2 linked regions of the Struthio camelus genome follow. The protein of the gene in region 2 interacts with the protein of the main gene of each other region in a biochemical or structural test. Links are inferred from orthologs where the notes say so. Each region holds a gene or a part of one and is shown on either strand. Other genes may lie near its edges.

The links.
Region 1: the proteins of SNAP23 (region 2) and STX2 form a complex in vitro, tested with the Homo sapiens proteins (2 studies listed by BioGRID). The link is inferred for Struthio camelus from reciprocal best matches to the Homo sapiens genes SNAP23 and STX2.

Annotation. Positions count from the first base shown.
Region 1 is NC_090958.1:14,149,036-14,158,058, forward strand, and holds the start of STX2 (syntaxin-2), read left to right. Parts: upstream 1-4,786; 5' UTR 4,787-4,954; coding exon 4,955-4,984; intron 4,985-9,023.
Region 2 is NC_090946.1:42,631,253-42,640,629, reverse strand, and holds the start of SNAP23 (synaptosomal-associated protein 23), read right to left. Parts: upstream 4,038-9,377; 5' UTR 3,877-4,037; intron 1-3,876. UniProt on the Homo sapiens protein: Essential component of the high affinity receptor for the general membrane fusion machinery and an important regulator of transport vesicle docking and fusion.

The sequences.
Region 1 (9,023 bases), on a different chromosome or scaffold from region 2:
AATAAAGTTATTAAAGCCCCCAAGTCGAAACTTTAGCGCTAGAGAGCAGAGCTGCTTTAAATGAACTCTAAAAGAGATGTTTTGCATAGGATTATAAATATCAAGTCCGTGGGGTCATACTGACTTTTAAGCACCCTGCTCTTTTTTCCTCTGGTGTACTTAGGCAGTATGTTCCTTTTTTGTGGTCTGCATAACATTTATTTGTTGCTGCATCCCCTAATCAAGGATAAATACATTAATTTTTAAATACTTCTGGCTTGAAATAATATAGATTTTTTTTCATGGAACATGACACACGCAAACAGACTATTTCTTGTTCATTCTCTGCATACATGGAGGCAATGCATACAGAAAGCTTTACAATCTCTCTGCTGTAATATTCACATACTTAGTCGTGGAGCGCCACTCCAAAATTTTATTTAAATTTTTCTTTGTTGCAAAAATCACTGGTTTGTTGAGCTTGTTTTCTTTTTTTCTTTTTTTTGGAGGAGGTGGTACAATGGGGTTTCTCTGAGCCTTTTTGGTGATCACCCCTAGGTGCCAGAAAGGATGTTTTTAAGAATATGTAATTCATATTTTTCTCAGTACAATGCTATCTTTATAAACCTCTTACGAATCCACCCATCTTCTTGACAAATAGGAATCCATTTATTAATAGGAGCCCATAAAGCCACATAAGTGGAGTTTGTGGCAGTGTTTAAGAATATAAACACTTCCAGGAAAATCTTCAATCTGTGACTTTGTCTACACAGTGCTAAGTATGCTTTAGAAGCGTGGAGCTTGTTAAAATAATAATAAATTCAGGTCTTGGATTATTTGAGTGCTCCCCTAACCTACTACCATGAGATAGTTAATTTCTCCTATCAGTCAGTTCCCAAACTGATCAAACTGCGAAGACTACAAACACTGAAACAGATCTTTGTCTTCTGTTCTCTTCAACAAGTGTTAATATGATAAAAATTCAGCCTTGTATGTTATTACATGGAAGCATACTACTGATCATGGAATGAGAGTTCGTTTGTTTATTTAATCCTCCACTTAGCGCTGAATTTCAGTAAACAAACTGCATGTCTCCAGTGCACAGTCTTGGACTGTGTGGTGAACAGTAGGAAAGACATGTAAAAATATAACTTTTTATTGTCATACTTAGAAGACTATGAAACTCAGAAACTACGTTTGCAAAGGTTTTCATAGTTTTCACAACACGAGTTTTGGATAAAGAACTCTGTTTTTCTGCTTAGACCATGACATCACAATGAAAGGAAATCTGAATATGTACTGTGTATATATAGACTTTTCAATGTATTTTCAAACTAATGTGCAACTAATTGATATTACTGAATTATGATAGAGCCTTAATGAAGTGTTTAAGAGCTCTCCATACACAGGTGCTTCCGGCCTTACCAGAACTACCTGTTGGACTTTGCCATTCCCTAGAGCCAGGAGAGTGGGGTAGATTAAAGCGTTCCAACGGGAGAATGCCTTAGAGCTGCAGAAAGGACCCTAAGTACTGCTAATCACTAACACGGCAGTGAAGTGCAAGGACTTGTCTTAACTGGATTCACACATTGTAGTCCAAGGGAGCTTAACCTCCAGAGGAAAAGACATCTCTTCTTCCAAGGAACACAGACCACCCAGTGGATAAGTTGCCCTTTGCATCTCAGTTGACTATAGCCTTAAACCTTTATGTTGAATTGCATGAGACAGTTGTTGCTCAACTGATAGACAGTTTGGGCAATACTAGTTGTTCTTTATTTAACTACATGTTGCACTAATACTTTTAAAATATATTAATCCAATATACACAAGGTGTAAATACTTTGAACTGCGCTCACTTCCCAATTCGTGCAAAGAAGGGGCATATCAGTGATTCCAGTTCCTGTTAATCTTTCAAATATACCTAACGTTGATTTGCTAGGCGCCCGTGCAAAACTTTGAAACCCACTTGGGCCTATTTGAAAATTAAATATAACAGAATTGTCTGGGTAATTCATACAACAGAAACTGTTCCCTTTGTTATGAACGTAGGACAGTTATAACAAGTGAGCACCAGCCCAGCACTCTAGAAAACACTAGCTGAGAATGTTGTACTTACACCCCTGACAATAATGAAAAGATACATGATGTCTTGACATAAAAGATATTGTAAAGTGGCCACACAACTGCATCAGGAAGACAGCTGGAGTTTATGGAACTGGTTTGGGTCTCTGGAACTAAGATTGTATATGAATTCCTTATAATTGTTACAGTAGTATTATGCTTTCTCTGTTTTCTTCTTAAGTGTTGTCTGTTACATTTTTGTAACTGTTGCTTAAATTGGAAATATTCATCAGGCCAGCAAAAGGCTCAAGATGTACGAGGAATTTGCCTTGCTATGCTGGAAGCTTGTGAGTGAAAGAAGGAAGAAATTGATAAACTTAAGCTCATTTCAACTGAATAAGGAAACCTAGATGCAAGAGGGGATGAGGAGACAGCATGGCCTGAGCAGTGAGAGGATCTGTTTAGAAGCCCTGAGCTGGGCATCTGTGGCTCCTCTACCATACTCTGGGTGTGAGACTGGTAGTCTCAAAGCGGGGAGCTGTGGTAGTTTGTGTAAATATACAGACTATTTCAGGGTTTTATTTACTGTTTAGGGATTTAAAAGGCAATCTTGGTTGAGGCCTGTCATGGATGTTTCTTAACTGTGCTAGCACTTTCCTTCATAGACAAGCTGAAGCAGTCACCAGTTAAAACCAGATCCATCCAGCCTTGAGGCGCGAGGGATTTATAGCATTCCATAAAAGGAAAAGTGTTTGATTATGACCTTTGACTGGTTAAGAAGCTTCTTGAATAACTAAGAAAGTACATAAAAAGCCTTGTTCCTCTTTGCTATGTAGAGACCAAATTGGTGAGGTTTATTTTCACCTTTGCCACCATGTGCTCTCTCCTATAGCTACTAATAGTAAATAAAAGCTTCTCTTCTGACCTAACCCAGAAGTATTGAGGATTTCTTCGACAGAAGCTTCTAAGTATTGTAACAAACTAATTAGTAAACTATCTTTTTTTCCTTCAAACAAAACAATAATACTGTGTGATACTTTACTTTGGAACAATTAAACGTGACTTGCTAATTAAAAAGTCCCCAATCATTTGATTTGAGCTCCTGCCAAATATTTACAAGTTGTTGCAGAGATAAGTTTGCCATATAGGATCTACTTGTTAGCATCTGTTTTAAATATATACAAATAAGTATTCAGTTCAGAGGATCTACAAAACATCTACTCCAGATAGCTCCATTCAGCAAAGGCCACAAAACACTTCCAATGACTAATCAGCAGCGTTAGATAACCAAGACATTAGGGTCCCTAAGATATCACTACGTAATCAGCAGAATAATAAGCCTTAAAAGATCTTGTACATTTCCTGTACCTTGACTCAGCTCAACTGTGAACAAACTGAGCCACTGACCCAGATAAAGTAAAGGACAGCACTTAGGAAGTCAGGGAAGATGCAAATAAAGAGTGGTACAAAAGCTTGTACTGGAGATGACCACAGTCACAGAGCTAAACAGCATGTTATCTTTGAACACAACTGCTACGTTAGCAAACTATTTTGCAAACTCTAGAAGATGACAACAGTGCATACCAGCAAGAAATTAAAAGGAATATTGGTATGTTTCACAGTCAAAGCACTGATTGTGGAAATGTCTGGAATATTAGCTCAAACAGAAACAGAGCTCTGCACACTGGTGTTCCAGGTGACACATGAAATTTAAAAAGGAAATTAGTCATTTTCAACATGGATAGGTAAAACGGATCACTCAGGATCACTGAGGACTTTATGCATTCTATGGTATGTCTGCGATGTTTCCTAGAATCTCTCAGGCCTTTAAAGCATATCTGTTATTGCACTGATTTACGACTTTGGCAAAGTCTTTAATTTGTCTTCCTGTGACACTTTGTGGTCATTGTTTTTGATGTTTTACCTGAGACCTTAAAGTCACTACAAGGCAATGTTTCTCAGCGCTTATTAGTTGAAGAGTTTAAAAAAAAAAAAAAGTCCTCAGCTCATCTTCTGTTCCACAAAATGAAGTGTGCAACTTTAATTTCCTGTCATTACGTTGATGTTCTAAGAATGACTAGCAAGCCGTAGTTTAATGTTACGGAACAGCAAAAGGAAGTATCTATGGCCTGTGGTGAGCTGAACTGTCAGAAAAGAGAGGAAACAGTCTGTTCACTTTCTGAACTAAATATGCATTGCATGAAGTCTGATTGCCGCCTACCCACGTGACTCACCAGAGAAGAATTAAATAAAATACAGCTGAAAAATAACCCTATCGCAACTTTTAACAGTTTGTTTCGCTGATGACAGTCTCCCCAAGTTTTGTGCTATTATAACATCCTGCTGTTACGCGCCTAGCAGCACTGCTCGCTGGGGCTGGGAATTTCCTCGTGGGTACCGTTCAGAAGAGTCAGTTCTCTAACTCCGCACGTGTCTACCTCTGGAAGTGCCCGTCTTGAACAGGCCCGCGGCAACGCGCGACTCCGCCGCGCCTCCCTCCCCCCAGCTCCCACCGGCCTCTTCGCAAATACTGGCGCAGCTACCCGCGCCCTCCTCGGGCCTTGCCGTGACGTCAGCTCCCCGGCGGACGGGTGCCGCGCCCGGCCATTCCGCGCGGCCGCGCCCAGGAATTTGCATCGCGGCCACCACCCCCTTCCTCGCGAGGCGCATGCGCGGAGCCGGGCCGCCGTTGCCGTGACTTTGGGAGGGGGCGGGGCGGTGGCAGCTGCCCCTCGCACCGCGGAAGGAGAGCGGGGAGGCGGCGCGGCCCGGCCGGTCCGCTGAGCCCGGCCGAGGAGGGAGCGGAGGGGTCGGGGGGGTGGCGGCGGCGGCGGCGGGCCGAGCGCCGGCGGCTCTCTTCGGCGGGCGAGGAGCAGCCGGGGAAGCCTCGGGGTGGCGCTGAGCTGCTGCGGGGATGAAGGACCGGCTGGCGGACCTGGCAGAGGTGAGGGCTGCGGCGGGGGGCCGGAGGGCAGGTGGCGAGCGGGGGCGGCCGAGAGGCTAGTTCGGGGGGGGGAGGGGGGGCGGCCCCCGGGAAAGGGGGGGCGGCAGGCGGCGGAGCCGGTGGCGAGGAGAGGGGCGGCGGGGTGTGAGGGGCGGGGGAGGTGGTCGCCGCGGTCGCCGCCTGAGGTAACGGTCGGCGGCGGGAACGTGGATGTTCCGTTGGTGGATGCGCTGAGGCGACGCCTCGGCCCGGTCCCTGGGGGCAGGGAGGTCTCCGAGCTGCCGCGCGCTGTTTTCCCACTCCCTCCTCGAGGAGGAGGAGGAGGAGAACTTCCTTCCCCAGAGATGGGAAGACGCTTCTAAGCGTCGGGATTCTTACAACAAACTTCAAGCTCCTGCGATTTGTTTTTATAGCTTAAGTTCTCCCTCTTCCTCCCTCCAGCACACTTTAAATATTAATATTCTGAATGACGGATGAACGGGGGAAAACAATTTTGTTTTTGAACTGTCCACAGTGTAGTGGAATAGAATATCTGCTTTGGAACCGTTTCACCAGTAATACGTTCATCAGCAAATAAAGCTATCTGCAGATCCTGTTTTGCGTGTGTTTTAAAAATGGTAGTTGGAAATGTTTATTCGTTCTTTTCCTTCCTCTTATTTACGCTTCAAAAGCAGTATCCTTAAGAAAAGAGGGAGAGTTGGAGGGAGGTACTGTGTTGTCTGTTTTCAGCAGGACATGGCTTGGTCAAAATAAAAGAGTATTTGACTCTATTCCAAGGATAAATGAAATTGGAGCGCGCACAGGAGTCTCTAATACTTTTAGGACTCTCCACATATACGTAGTTGGCCTCTGCTGAGCTATGTACAGATTTGGGCCTTATTTGTCTTAAATTCACATCTTATGGTTCAGAAAATACATTTCAGAAGCTCTGTTCTTATGCAGTAGGATTACCAGTCTGTCTTCCTCTCCAAAAGGGTGAATTGGCATTTGAAAAGTTTTTGCATGATTAGGTTACAGTGTCTTTACCAGGGAAGATAGAGGAGAGTCTTGTCAAAGAAAAGTGTATTTTCTTTCAGGTATATTTCTCTTCTCCTATTTCCTGTTTCTAAGTTTGTCCAGGTTGTAGGAATACGTGCCAAATTTCAGTGGTGGTGCATTCTTCCCAGGAAAAAGGAAGCAGCAAACGGTGATCTGAATTTGCTTTTTAATTTATAGTCTTAAAACATGTAGTCTGCCCTGACTGTAGGGAAGCAGCAGTGGTCTGTCTTTGATTAAAAAATAAAAATAATTCACTTAGATATTGTTAGACGCTTTTAAAGTAACTCTGTACGTAGGGGTTTCTAGGCCACCTTTAATATTTTTCATCTAAAAGCATCATTGCTGCAAACTGCTACTTTAATTGCAAACACTGGGATCAATATTTGTCAAGTGCTTCATACGTTCAAGAGTATAACTGAGGTTTACAACCTGTAAAATTAACAAATAGCAAAGGGATCTAAAATAAGGACTCTATTCGAATAAAGGACAGAGAACTCTCTTCTAACAAGAACAAAGTGAAGGCAATGTCAAGTGAAAGCAGAAAGATCAAAGATCCAACCTATGTTTTATCACTTGAAAGCATGCTATTGGTCAAAAGTTTAGAGAAGATACATACCAGAGGAGATAGCCTTTGTAAAACTTGATATCCACAGGGAATTCATAGAAGTAGCGACTAAGATCTTGCCTCTTTATCTGAAACATCAAAAGAGATGAAATTTTGGTGATGTGAAAGATTTTCCTTTACTACCATAAACACTTTGAACAGTGATTCTTTCCTTGATAATACATAGATAAAATTACTTTGAAAAGGAATAAATCACCTCTAGAAATCATACAAACTGCATTAACATTTGTTTGCCCATTTTCCAAACTGTTTCAGACTAGTTAGTATAAGTTGCACTGTATTTTATGTGGCAAAATCATTAAGTGAAGGGTAGTGGTTGTATGTTGCAGTTTTTAAACAGGCCTGGGCCTTCATGATCTTCAGGAATTACTAAGTCTTTGCCTTAATGTGAGAATGTTATTTTGTATTTAATTGATTATATCTTATATGAAAGCTACCTCCATCTTGTTTCCTTAAAAGACTTGATATGCTACACAAATCGTTTAAGAGATCGTAGCACTTTAACCAGTCCACACTGACCTGCTTTAAATAAATGCAATGCTCCCTTAAGAAGAAACACACATTTAAGTTTACAAGTCCTCATTTCCATGTTCCTGAATTGTAATTGAAGGCAAGAAAATTATTTTGTCACTTAAAATGGAAGATTTTGTTTTCTTAGATTTCTCTTTATAAAGGATAGCAAGCAATGTTAGTTATTAATGTTCATGGTCCATTGGCAGATGAAATTATCTCAACTTGTGGATACTTTTGTTCATACACTATATCAGACAGTTAAATAGTGCTAAAATACTTCCTGGAAAGAGAAACTGTTGTGGACATGCAGATAATGTTGCTGCTTATTATTTGTCAGCTAGGAAGAGTCTTGCAATGTACATACGTTTCTCAGAAGATAACAGCCTTACGTGTATTTGTTCACTTCTGGGGGATGATTTCAACATCTTGTTTACAAATTATTCTGTCTGCTCTCTTTTTTATTCCTTTGCTGCGATTGACTGGACAATTCATCAAGTTCCAGAGGTATTTAGTTATTTTTAGCCAAAACGAGTGTAAGATTAAAATGAGAATAAAAAGTTCTACCTAACTCAACATGTTGTTTTCAACAGTGCTCAATGGCGTATGCATAGTGAAGAAAAGAACAACAGGGCAAGCACGTAGCAATGATTCCCTGGCCTATTCTCCTAGCCCTGAATGGTTTGCAGTTTGGGGTTACACGACCACATTAAAATGATGTTAATATTTTAAAGAGTTATACAGTCTGTGCTCTGATGGTGGGTTCAGCACATCTAGCCAGCATTGGGTATTAAAAACAGAAAAACAGATGTCCTTTTAAAGATCTGCTAATAGAGTTCAAATTTTTTTTTTTGTTATGCCATTTAAAGATGTAAGATATAAACCTTTTCTGCTTAAGCAAACTTAATGCTTACAGTAACTTGAACAGAACTGCACTGATTTTTTTATTTTTATTTTTATTTTTTGTGAATAACCTCTTGTGCATTCACTTAGTGCCCCAAAAGTTCTATTTAGGAGTAGGGTAAAGAACCACAAAGTCACAAAATTTAAAATCGGTAGAATTGTAGCAGTAAGGAAAAACTGGAAGAGGAACTTTTTCAGAGTGAGGAAAAAAGTTGCCAAGTTATTTCTTCTGAGTTCATTTTTTACATTAGTCTTTGTTTAAGCATAGACTCTTCTAACGATGAGCTATGAGTTTTCCATGCCATAACAGCATAAAGTAGTTTCCTATAGTTGGTCACGATATGATCTTTTTCTATGTTGTGCAGTAATGCTACTAACATGCATGTTAGCGATTGACCTGCTAAAGGTGCCTGACTGATCTGGTTGGCCCTCAGTAAGGGAAAAGGCTTACTACCTGTGATAAAGAAAATTTCTTGAAAGACTGATGCTGTGAGGAAAAAATTGAAAAGCTACGTGCTCATGGTCAGGAGTGCACACAGATTAACATGGATTCAGTGACATATAGATCAATAGCTCTGGAGTCAGAAATTATCTAATAAAAAGTATTTTAAGTAGAACAGACTGGGAAAACTTCAATTTTAATGTAGGAGATGTCAGGTAAAAATTGTAGTCTGTTAAAAGATAGACTCTCCATATAGGAAAAAAATTCTACTTTCTATTAAAATATGTAAGTAGTAATTTTAGGAAGTTAAAAGATTTCTTGGATAATAAAAGCAATCCTTTAATGGAAACGGGCAACCATAAAGGTTATTTTCGGTGTTGTCAGCATTGTTTCCTTGTATGCCCATCTAGTTCACTGAGTAATGTGGGAGTGTGTGTGTACAAAGGAGCTAAGCTACAGTTTGCATGGGTAGCTGTAAATCTGGCATTTGCTGTCCCTCAGGTGCTTGATTTTTGTATGCG
Region 2 (9,377 bases):
AGGCTGTTAACACAAGAGCAAATTCAGTGTTAGCAATACCCATAGCAACCTACTGCCAGCACATATAAATCTCCAAGCTTTATTACTTGCTTGTGATCAGAAAGCTAGACTTAGTATGCGTTTATCCAACAGCAGCTCTTTGGTTGAGGATCCCTGATGGTAGGTACATTAAAGCTTTGGAAAAAGCATTAAGCATTTGAAATGAAAAAGCCTCAAGATGAAAAAAACTGTTCTATGCAGCCAGTAACATCATAATCATCTTTGCTATGCGTTGTCTCAGATCACACACTTAATTTTACATACAATCTTTCTTTATTGTCTCTGTCATTGCTGCAACATAGTGCTCTGCACCACTAGAGATTTTTCTTACCAGCATTTATTTTTCATTAAGAATTACATGCAAATTTGAAGTCAACTATTTACAACCAACACTCAAAGTTTCCAACAGAAGCAGACCATAGGTATAAATATAGGCAAGTTTCAAAAGCTGTTACAACAGTGAAATTGCATATCCCTTTCAGGCTTTTTCATTCCAAATATTTTTCTCAGACTTGCAAAAAAAGACACTTCCAAGGTAATGAAAGCTATGGTACGCAATTTACCTACTGTTTGAACAGGCATTTTTGAAAAGTTATCAACTCTAGAAAAAAAGTTACATCCTTGCTTTAAGACAGTCAACACATATTTAGAGTGTGCTGTCCAAAGCACTCAAAGCCCATAAGAATTTTCTGTCTTAGATATCTCTGAATTTGAACAAACTACTGGGTGCCAGAAAGTCTAATGACGTGTTTAACTGCAATTACACCGTCCACATCTGGAAAGGACATTAAGCTATCTACTGCAGACAAACATCATTTCATATTGGCACTCAGGGTAGGAGCATTTTTAAAAAAAATTGTTACACCTGGAGATTTTGTGCATTCCTGTCATCCCTTCAAACTAAGACATTTTGAAAGATCTAATTTTGACAGGGAAAGAGAGTGTCAAAAGTGACATGTTTTCCTCAACTACACAGGTCTCTCTGCACTAGACCAATATACTGTATTGATCACTTGCAGTTTAACAAACTCAGCAAGATTTTCAGTCTCGCATCTCTGGCTGACATGCAGCAGTTTTGTGCCTCTGACAGACAGCCTTTCACAGATGTGAGAGACACCTATCACATTTCTCAGATATCCCAAATTAATTCCTTGTCAACTGGTGATGCTCCTTATTTGAACCTAAACAATCAGGATGTCTAAAACAGTCCTTCATCCTTCCTCCTGCACTACTAGTCCTCAGCTAGAAATGCAGGCTGAAGCTCTTCCTTTTTCAGTTAAAGACATTTTGCTAGCATCAGTAACAAAGAACAATCTGTACCTTAGTGCCTATTCCATAAACACATAATAAGCAAGAGGTTCCCAATTTTCTTAGGAGTAGGAACTAAAGCTAGAAGAATGTAGTGTAATACTTTTGGCAATGGAAGACAACAGCTGTGAGAGTTACAAGTGGGGATTAGGTCATTTTTTTTTAATGCTGGAAATATAAGGGTCATTAAATTTGCCTTCTAGAAGAATTTCTCTCTCAGAAAAGCTATTTCCAAGTTGTGAATGAAAATGAGTCAACTCCTGCAAAGCATGGAGTCTTGCTAGAGCACTTAAGGCTTCACGCTGTTTTTCTCCTCAAAATCCAGTCAAAAGTTTTCAGTAGTCAGGAACTAAATATGGCATAGTTGATCAGAAAACTTTTAGACATGCATGCCCAAGTTATTCATTTTCAAAAAGTCATGATTACGCAAGATCTAATCCTTTCTATTCACATGTACCCATATTTGACTACCTCCTCATTTCAGATATATCAGAAAGTAATTCCTGTATTGTATACTTTTAAAAAACTAATCTACCAGTAAATATACCAAAGTATTATCCTTAAAAACCTACAATTGGTAGCTAGATCTTTCCATTGATATTTATTACAAGTACCAGGGAAGAAATAACAAATAGCCCCCAGCTGATATGGCAAAAAAAAATATGATTGAAAAATTCAGCCTACGCCGTCTTATGGGCAATTGTGTTATAAACAAAGATAGGAAGTGCAAGAAGACACAATCCAGATGTCTCAGCAGCAGAACGAAAGCCAGGATCTCATGAGCTATAATTTTAGCCATCAGTGAACCGGTATAGCCTCAGAAGATCACGGATGCTCTCTGTTCCTTCACCTGTAAAGTGAGCAGTTGCCTTCTCCAAAAGATGAAGAACATTAACAGAACTATTTTTAGAAAAAATTGAAAATAAATTATGAAAGTTGTGTGCTCTTGCACAGATTAAAACTAGACAGTTTACAGAGTAGGTGACTTGATACAAAAGTACAAAACAAAACAAAAACATTTGCATCACCAATGCAGGAGCTGCTTTTGAAAAACCTTCCTTATTCAAATAGAAAATGCTACTTATGTTCAGCAGCTGAAATTCAGCCCAGCAAATACAGGCTGGTACAAGGTATCAGCACCAGAGCGTACTCCTCCAGGCTATTATGTCTACAAGATAAATGAATAAAGCATCTGTGACACTGGGGGAAGGGGCCAGAACCCAAGAACAAGAAACCACTCTGCATGCTTCCTGCTTTCTCTTATCAGCTTCCTGAACACACTGCACAGAGGAGACAGCCAAAAGAATAGGCGCTAGCAACACCACCTCCTCTATGCTATGTGTTCTCTTCTATGCTAGTTCCAACAAGCAATTTTTGTTGCTGGAAAAGCCTCGTGATACCTCCTCCAGTTTAGTTATTAGCCAATACAAGTTAACAAGCAACTCTAGATCAACATACAGACAGTAACAGCTGCTATTTTGTCTGCCTAACGAAGAACACTGTGCAAAAAGCTATACAATCAGCTACTTAAAAACCCTGCAGAATCGGGGCGCTAAGGCATACAGACTAGTTACCAGACTGCCAGTAAGGAATTCATTGCTCAAACCAAAGAATCATGCAATTGACATCCAGGGAGGTTTTTCCTTTGCCCCTAAATGCCTTCCTGTATAGCTGTTCTACCTGCAGCAGAGAATTAGCTTTTTCTTTTTTTTTTTTTTTAAATGAAGGGAGAAGTAAAGGAAAACTCAGCTACTTAGTTCTGAGTCCTGAATGCCTATTGCCCTCAGAAAAAGGGAACACAAATAGCTAGGAAAGCTGTATAAAGAAGTTCCAAAGCTTCCCCAGCCCATTTGTCTGGGTTGAGGAATTGTGTGCTGTGTTACACCTTTGTGTTAAGCAGTAATTGCACTCTGCCCGAGATAAGTCTTCAAAAGAGAAGAGTGAAAAATAAAGCTGACTATTCTTTATCAGTTTCCTAGGAGGGCTAAAGGTTTCGAGATCTACAGTTAAACAGAGACCCACAAGTTACTTCTAACACTTATTGTTCGTACCTATCAGAATTTTACCAACTCGTGTCTAAAGGCAGGAAACCATAAGAGTTTAAAAACAGCAATAACAGGAGGAGTGCCTCCGGTAACATACAACCGGATCAGTTCAGTCAAGCACAGAAGAAACATCCGAAAGCCGCCCAGGATCCTCCCCCGCCCGCCCAGCGCAGGGCTCGGACCCCAGCGGCACGGGCCTCTCGGCACGGCGAGGCCAGGGTGGAGCAGGGGCTGCGCGCAGCCCCAGGCCCCGCCACACCAGCGGCCCTCCCGGGCAGCCACGACCCCGTCACCGGTGCCCTTCCAGCCGCGGCCCCGGCGGGGCCGAGCCGTTAACGGCAAGGCGGAAGGGGACTCGACCTGCCAGCCTGACTCCCGCGGCCGCCGCCCCGGCTGCTCCGCTCGGGGCGCGGAGCGGCGAGTCGGCAGGCTGGGGCGGCCACCACACACGCCTACTGCTACTGCTGCCGCCGCCGCCACGCACCTGTCGTCGTCGCCACCGCTGCTGCACGCCCCGCAACGGTCGCCACCCTTAAGCCAGGCCCCGCACCCCTCGCCGCCCCTTTAACGGCCCAGCGCCCGCCCGCCCCCGCTGCGGAGCGCCCACCCGCCCCGCGCGTCACTGGCCACCGCCCCGCCCCGGAAGGGGAAGCCAGCAACCCCCGGCGGACGCGGCGCCGCGCGCCACACTCGACATGGCGGGAAAGAGAAGCCGCCCGCCTGCCTGCCCGCCCGCCCGCCCGCCTGCCTATAGCGGGGCCGCCGGCACCTCGTGGGAAACGTCCGGCGGCGCGCGCAGGTTGGGTGCACCCAACATGGCGCCATGAGGTGGCTGACGGGACTCCTGCGCATGCGCCAAGGCGCCGCGGCGCTCCGCCGGTGGGCGACGGCTGTACGTGGCCGGTGCGATAGGGTCCGGGTTTTGCCAGTTGCAGCTATGCTAAATAAAGACGTAGTATGTCGGTAGCCCCGTTGGAATCAGTGAGATTTTTCTGAGAGTGAGGTACCCGTCACTCTGAGGAAGGACCTTAACCACTCCTGTGTAACTAGAGGGAGAAAGAGGGCAGGGGCCTCCGGCAAGGGGAAGCTGTGGGTCTTGCGCTTTATAGTTGAACTGTGCTGACTTTCCGTGTATGTTTTCCTCCTGAAGTGTAACTGATTTTTTCTGTGCTGAGGTTGCCGTTAAGATCATATACCTTCTGTAATGTTGTTAACCCAGGGCAACATCAGCACTTCTCAATGCCATCAGGGCACAGAGTGGGCTGCGCTGCTCTTCTAAGGCTAATGAAGTGCCCTCTCGGGATGAAACCTCTGTGGTCTCAGAGGCGGGCCTTGTTTCGCTTTCCCTTACAGCATCCAGAGCCCCCTTTGGCTTACGCTTCTTGAGAGGTCCCACTGGACTGAGGTTTACTGTGTGTTACGCAGCCCAGCCACAAGCACAGGCACTTGTTCTTAAGCCTTTCAGACTGTTCCTGAAGGTGATTTGTCAGGCTAGCTCAGCCTGTGCTGGTCCTAGCACAATTTCTGTGGCTTCTTGCTACTGCTATGTGTGTGATTTTCAGGAGCAGGTTTTTCGAGCAGTAGCATACAGCACTACAGCACGGTTCAACTATGCATGTTTATGGCACTATACTGACTGATAATAACGATGATTACTATTGTTATCGGTAACTAAACGTCCCGAACTGACAAGCATGTATCCTACCGCAGTGAAGTAAGCGGGTATTTCCTCTAACACCGCTCCGCCGCCCGAACTACACTTCCCAGCAGGCAGCGCGGCGGGGGCAGGCGGACTTCCCGGCATGCAGAGCGGCCGCCTCCCTGCTGGCGGATTGGCTGGGGCGCGGGGTTGCCCCGCCCCGCCGTGCGCCGCGGGTCTCTGCGGGGTCGGCCCGGCGCGGGCGCTGGCGCGGTGCGAGCGGCGGCGGCCCCGGGGCGGGCGGCGGCGGGGCCTGCGGGGCGCCGGCCGAGTGATGGGTTGGCGGGCCGCTGCCCTGGCGAGGGCTGCGATGTGTGAGTGGCGGAGCGGGGGGCCGAGCGGCGGGGCCCCCCTGGCGGCGGGGTGCGGGGAGAGCGGGGCCGGCGGCGCGGCGGGGTCGCAGCGGCCGCCGGCCCGGCCGGACAGGGCCAGGCCGGGCCTGGCCTGGGTTTGCTCTGTGGCACGGCCGTCGCGGGTGGTGGTGGCGGCGGCGGCGGCGGGGCCCCCTGAGCTCTGTGGTCGGGTTCAGTGCAGAGCAGGTTCTCCGCTGCGGACTGTTGGCTGTCGTGTTGTCTCTTCGCACCCGCTAGAAGAGCGTCCGAGGCAGAAACGCAGCTTTGGGTTCAGAGTTGCTCGGTTACCTTCCTCACACTATAAAGCTAAAAAGTATATCCTCGTGAAAGCGTGTATGAATGCGGCGATAAATGCGGCTGGTAACCTGAAAAGACTGAGACCACTTCTGTGGAGTTTCTGATACGGGTCTTCATGACATAATGAAATATGAGCTGTTTAAAAGTGTTTGTTATTGCAAGCAGAGTAGTTCATACACAAACTTAAGTTACAGTAAGAGCTGTTCAGGAGGGCTTATGACCTTCAACTAGGAAAAACTTTGTGAATGTTGAGCGGAAGTAGCATTGATGCTTAAAGTTTATACAACTGCTCTGTAAGGGCTAAGTTTGTTTTGAGTGGTTTGCTTTTTGACAATATAATATCGTTTTATATTTTTCTATTCTTATTGCTAGTGGTCTGGTAACAACTGTCTAATGCAAGTAAGAAATTTTCCTTTTCTCCTTCCCTTCCACTCAAGCATGGCTTTAAAGGGATTTGTAGAACAGATGAGCTCAGAGGATTGAGGTGTGGTGGACTTTGTTTTCAACATGAGTTCTTGGGGCTGTTTTTCTCAGACTTCCTCTGCTTCTTGTTTCTATCCTTCATTTGCTACTTCTTTCAATCAAGCTTTAATTACTGTGTTGAGGTAACTGATTGCTTTGCTGGACTGATAGGTCCTCTCCTAAAAATACTTAAGCCTTCTAACAACTTCTTTAATAGTTTTTTGGAACTCTGAAATTATCTTCCTAGTAGTATTGCAGTGTCTGGGCTGAATGTTGCAGATCCTTAGGGCCAATGTAATATGACTTTGTAACTTCTTTACCTTAGAAAATATACTCCAATCCTGACCTGAAAAGAGACCGTCTTTTTTATTAAAGGCAACTGCATTTTTTTAGTTCTTACTTGGCTTCAGCCAAGAGTGAAAGGCAGCTGCATTCACATCACCAATACGTACCAGTACTGACTAGCTTTGTTTGTAAAGTTTGTTGAATAGGTATGGTATTGCAGTAGTTTCAGTTCAGAACAAATCACTGGTTTTAGCCAAACTATGTTAGCCTGTTACCTGTATCACTGTGACCAAAGTTAAGGTACCTTCTAGCCCATGTCTCCAAAGGGGTCAAGTGTTTGAAGAGGTGGCAGCAAAATACATCTTAATATATGCAAGGTTCTGATATCCAGTGCAAAGAATAATAACAATCACTAACATATAAGTACATGTTTAAATTGTGTACGAGGATGCTAGGTTTTGTAGATAACTTCGTCAAAACATCTAGATAAAATTAAGGCATTTTTTTCCGTTGGGCTTTCACTTCATCTTGTAAAGACAAAATTCATAAGATATTTGGAGTCAAGTTTAAATTGATGAAATTCTTTTTAACATCTGATAAGTGTCTTCTGTGAACTCTGCCACCAGATGGTGTCATAAGATTTGAGATGTGACATGACTCAAACTGGTTATAGGAAAAATAAGAGGATATTATGCATTGTAACTTACTTCTTTCTTTCATAAAAATGTTCTTATTTCTTGTGTAAGCAATTTTTTCCCCCTCATCTACTTCTCTTAGGCTATTTTTCTTTTTGATCCCAAGTTGATAAAGCCCTGAATAGTCAGCCCTGGGACCAAGTACCTATATTACAGAGGTGTAGGTATTCAGACAGGACCCTGTATTCTTATTGCTTGCCTGTTAATGATTCCCAGCTCAGTGTTTGGGATCCTTAACTTGGTTTTACTTGACACGAGAGCTCCATCTACTTACAGGTGACCTGACTGCCTTAATATGAGAACCTCGTATCACTCTTCAGTGGTTCTTATTGCTCTGTAGCGACTGCATAAATTGAATAAGCCTAATAACTGACTAAATGCTCTGCAATGCACTCTCTAGAGATCATATAGGCCCTTCTTCGGGAGTCTGAATCATCTTACCAAGGCCAGGTACCTACTTCTGTAGTATTGCGATAAGCTGGGTCGGTGCAGTGGGCCGCTTGGATTTGGCTTCTAAGTCGCTATTCCTTAGCTTCCAATCTGTAAAAGAGACCTACTATGCCTACCTGTGAAGGGCGCTATGAGCATAAATACGCTATGAAGAAAAAAAGATACAACCAAGTGTTGCAGAGATAAGTGTAAAACTAAGTGACAGATATTTCTGTCACTCTTATGAGGGTCTGTTGGTTGAAGATCTCTTGCCAAACAGCACAAGGTTATTGAAAGAAGCTGATATGAGTTCTGTTATAAATCACGGACATATTTAAATGGAGTAGCTTATTTGTACCAGATTGTGGATCATTACGTTGATTCTTAATAAAACTTTGTCTCAATCGTTAATAGTTATGTTTGAGGCTGAAAAAAATTATGATAGGAGGAGTACAAAGACAGTGCTCCTCTCAAAGAGGTGATGAGAGGAGTCTCAGTTGAAGCACTGTGTCCCATTTTGGAAATTCATTTCAAAGTGTGGTAGGCAACTTGGAAGGAGGAACAGGAATTTGGATAGGTTCAGAAAATGTGATGTTTGAGAAGACATCTGAGGAAACTGAGCTTGCCTAAGTCTGGAAAAGAACTGTGAATATATGGGAAAATAACAGCCATCATAGTGTGAATTTTAGGTGCTCCTAAATCACAAAATACCGCAATGATGCTGAACAACTTTCCATTCACATTAGGACAGTTTATATCCCTAAATCTGAATCTTTCAGTGTGTAAAAAGCTATTGAAAATAAGATAACCATAAGATATTCTTTGTTTTCACTAGGGAGGAATATATGGCTTATTTTTACAGCAAGGAAAGTTTAGGTTGGGTACTAGGAAAGTATTTATTAATCTAACGACAGCTGAGCTCTAAAAGAGGTTTTGTTAGGGACTCTGGGCTGTCTTTCGTTGGACACGTTTATGAACTGATTAGGTGGATGCCTGTCTGGAATGGTCTAAGCATGCTGTCTTAGTGCCAGGGTAGTCTATTCAGGTAATCTGTTGAGTCCTTTCTGGCTCTGTATATTTGTAATGAGATCCCCTTAGTTAGATTAATGGTTCAGAAAGCATTTTCATGAAATATTAAGTCAATTTATTTTAAATTGTGAATGACTAAAAGTATTGGTTTTTTAACTATTTTATGGCGATTTGTTGTTCAGTGTGCTTCTGTGTGAGCTGCTATACTGATTCTCATGGGTCATGCTTATTTGACTTTAACAATTCTTCCTGCTAGTTGAAATAGGATGATGATTGGCTGAACATGTAGACTGACTTACTGATGTTGCCTTTCTAGAACTGAGAACAAGAATCTACAGTACTGGAAAAAACAAATCTAACATTGCGTATATACAGAGAACCTAAAAAGATACAGTTTGATTGTGGCTTAAGCTGTATCTACTCTTCTGGTTTACTTGAAGTTAGAATAGACATTAGTGAAAACTCCGTGTTCATGCCAGGTGTTTCCATGCATATGCTTGTCTGTTTGTATAGGTATTTCTCTATGATCCCTTATCTCCTGTGTACCTTCTCTGTAGTACTCATGGGATAACATACAAATGGTTCCTCCTGGATGGCTTCTAGGCAATTTAGTGGAGTGAGCTTTATTGCTTTTAACAGGAACTTAAAGAACTTTGATCTCTGAAATAACTCTTCTCTCTTCCTTGGCTCAATGTCAAAATAGTTGAGGACTCAGCAGCCCTGTTGCAACATTTGC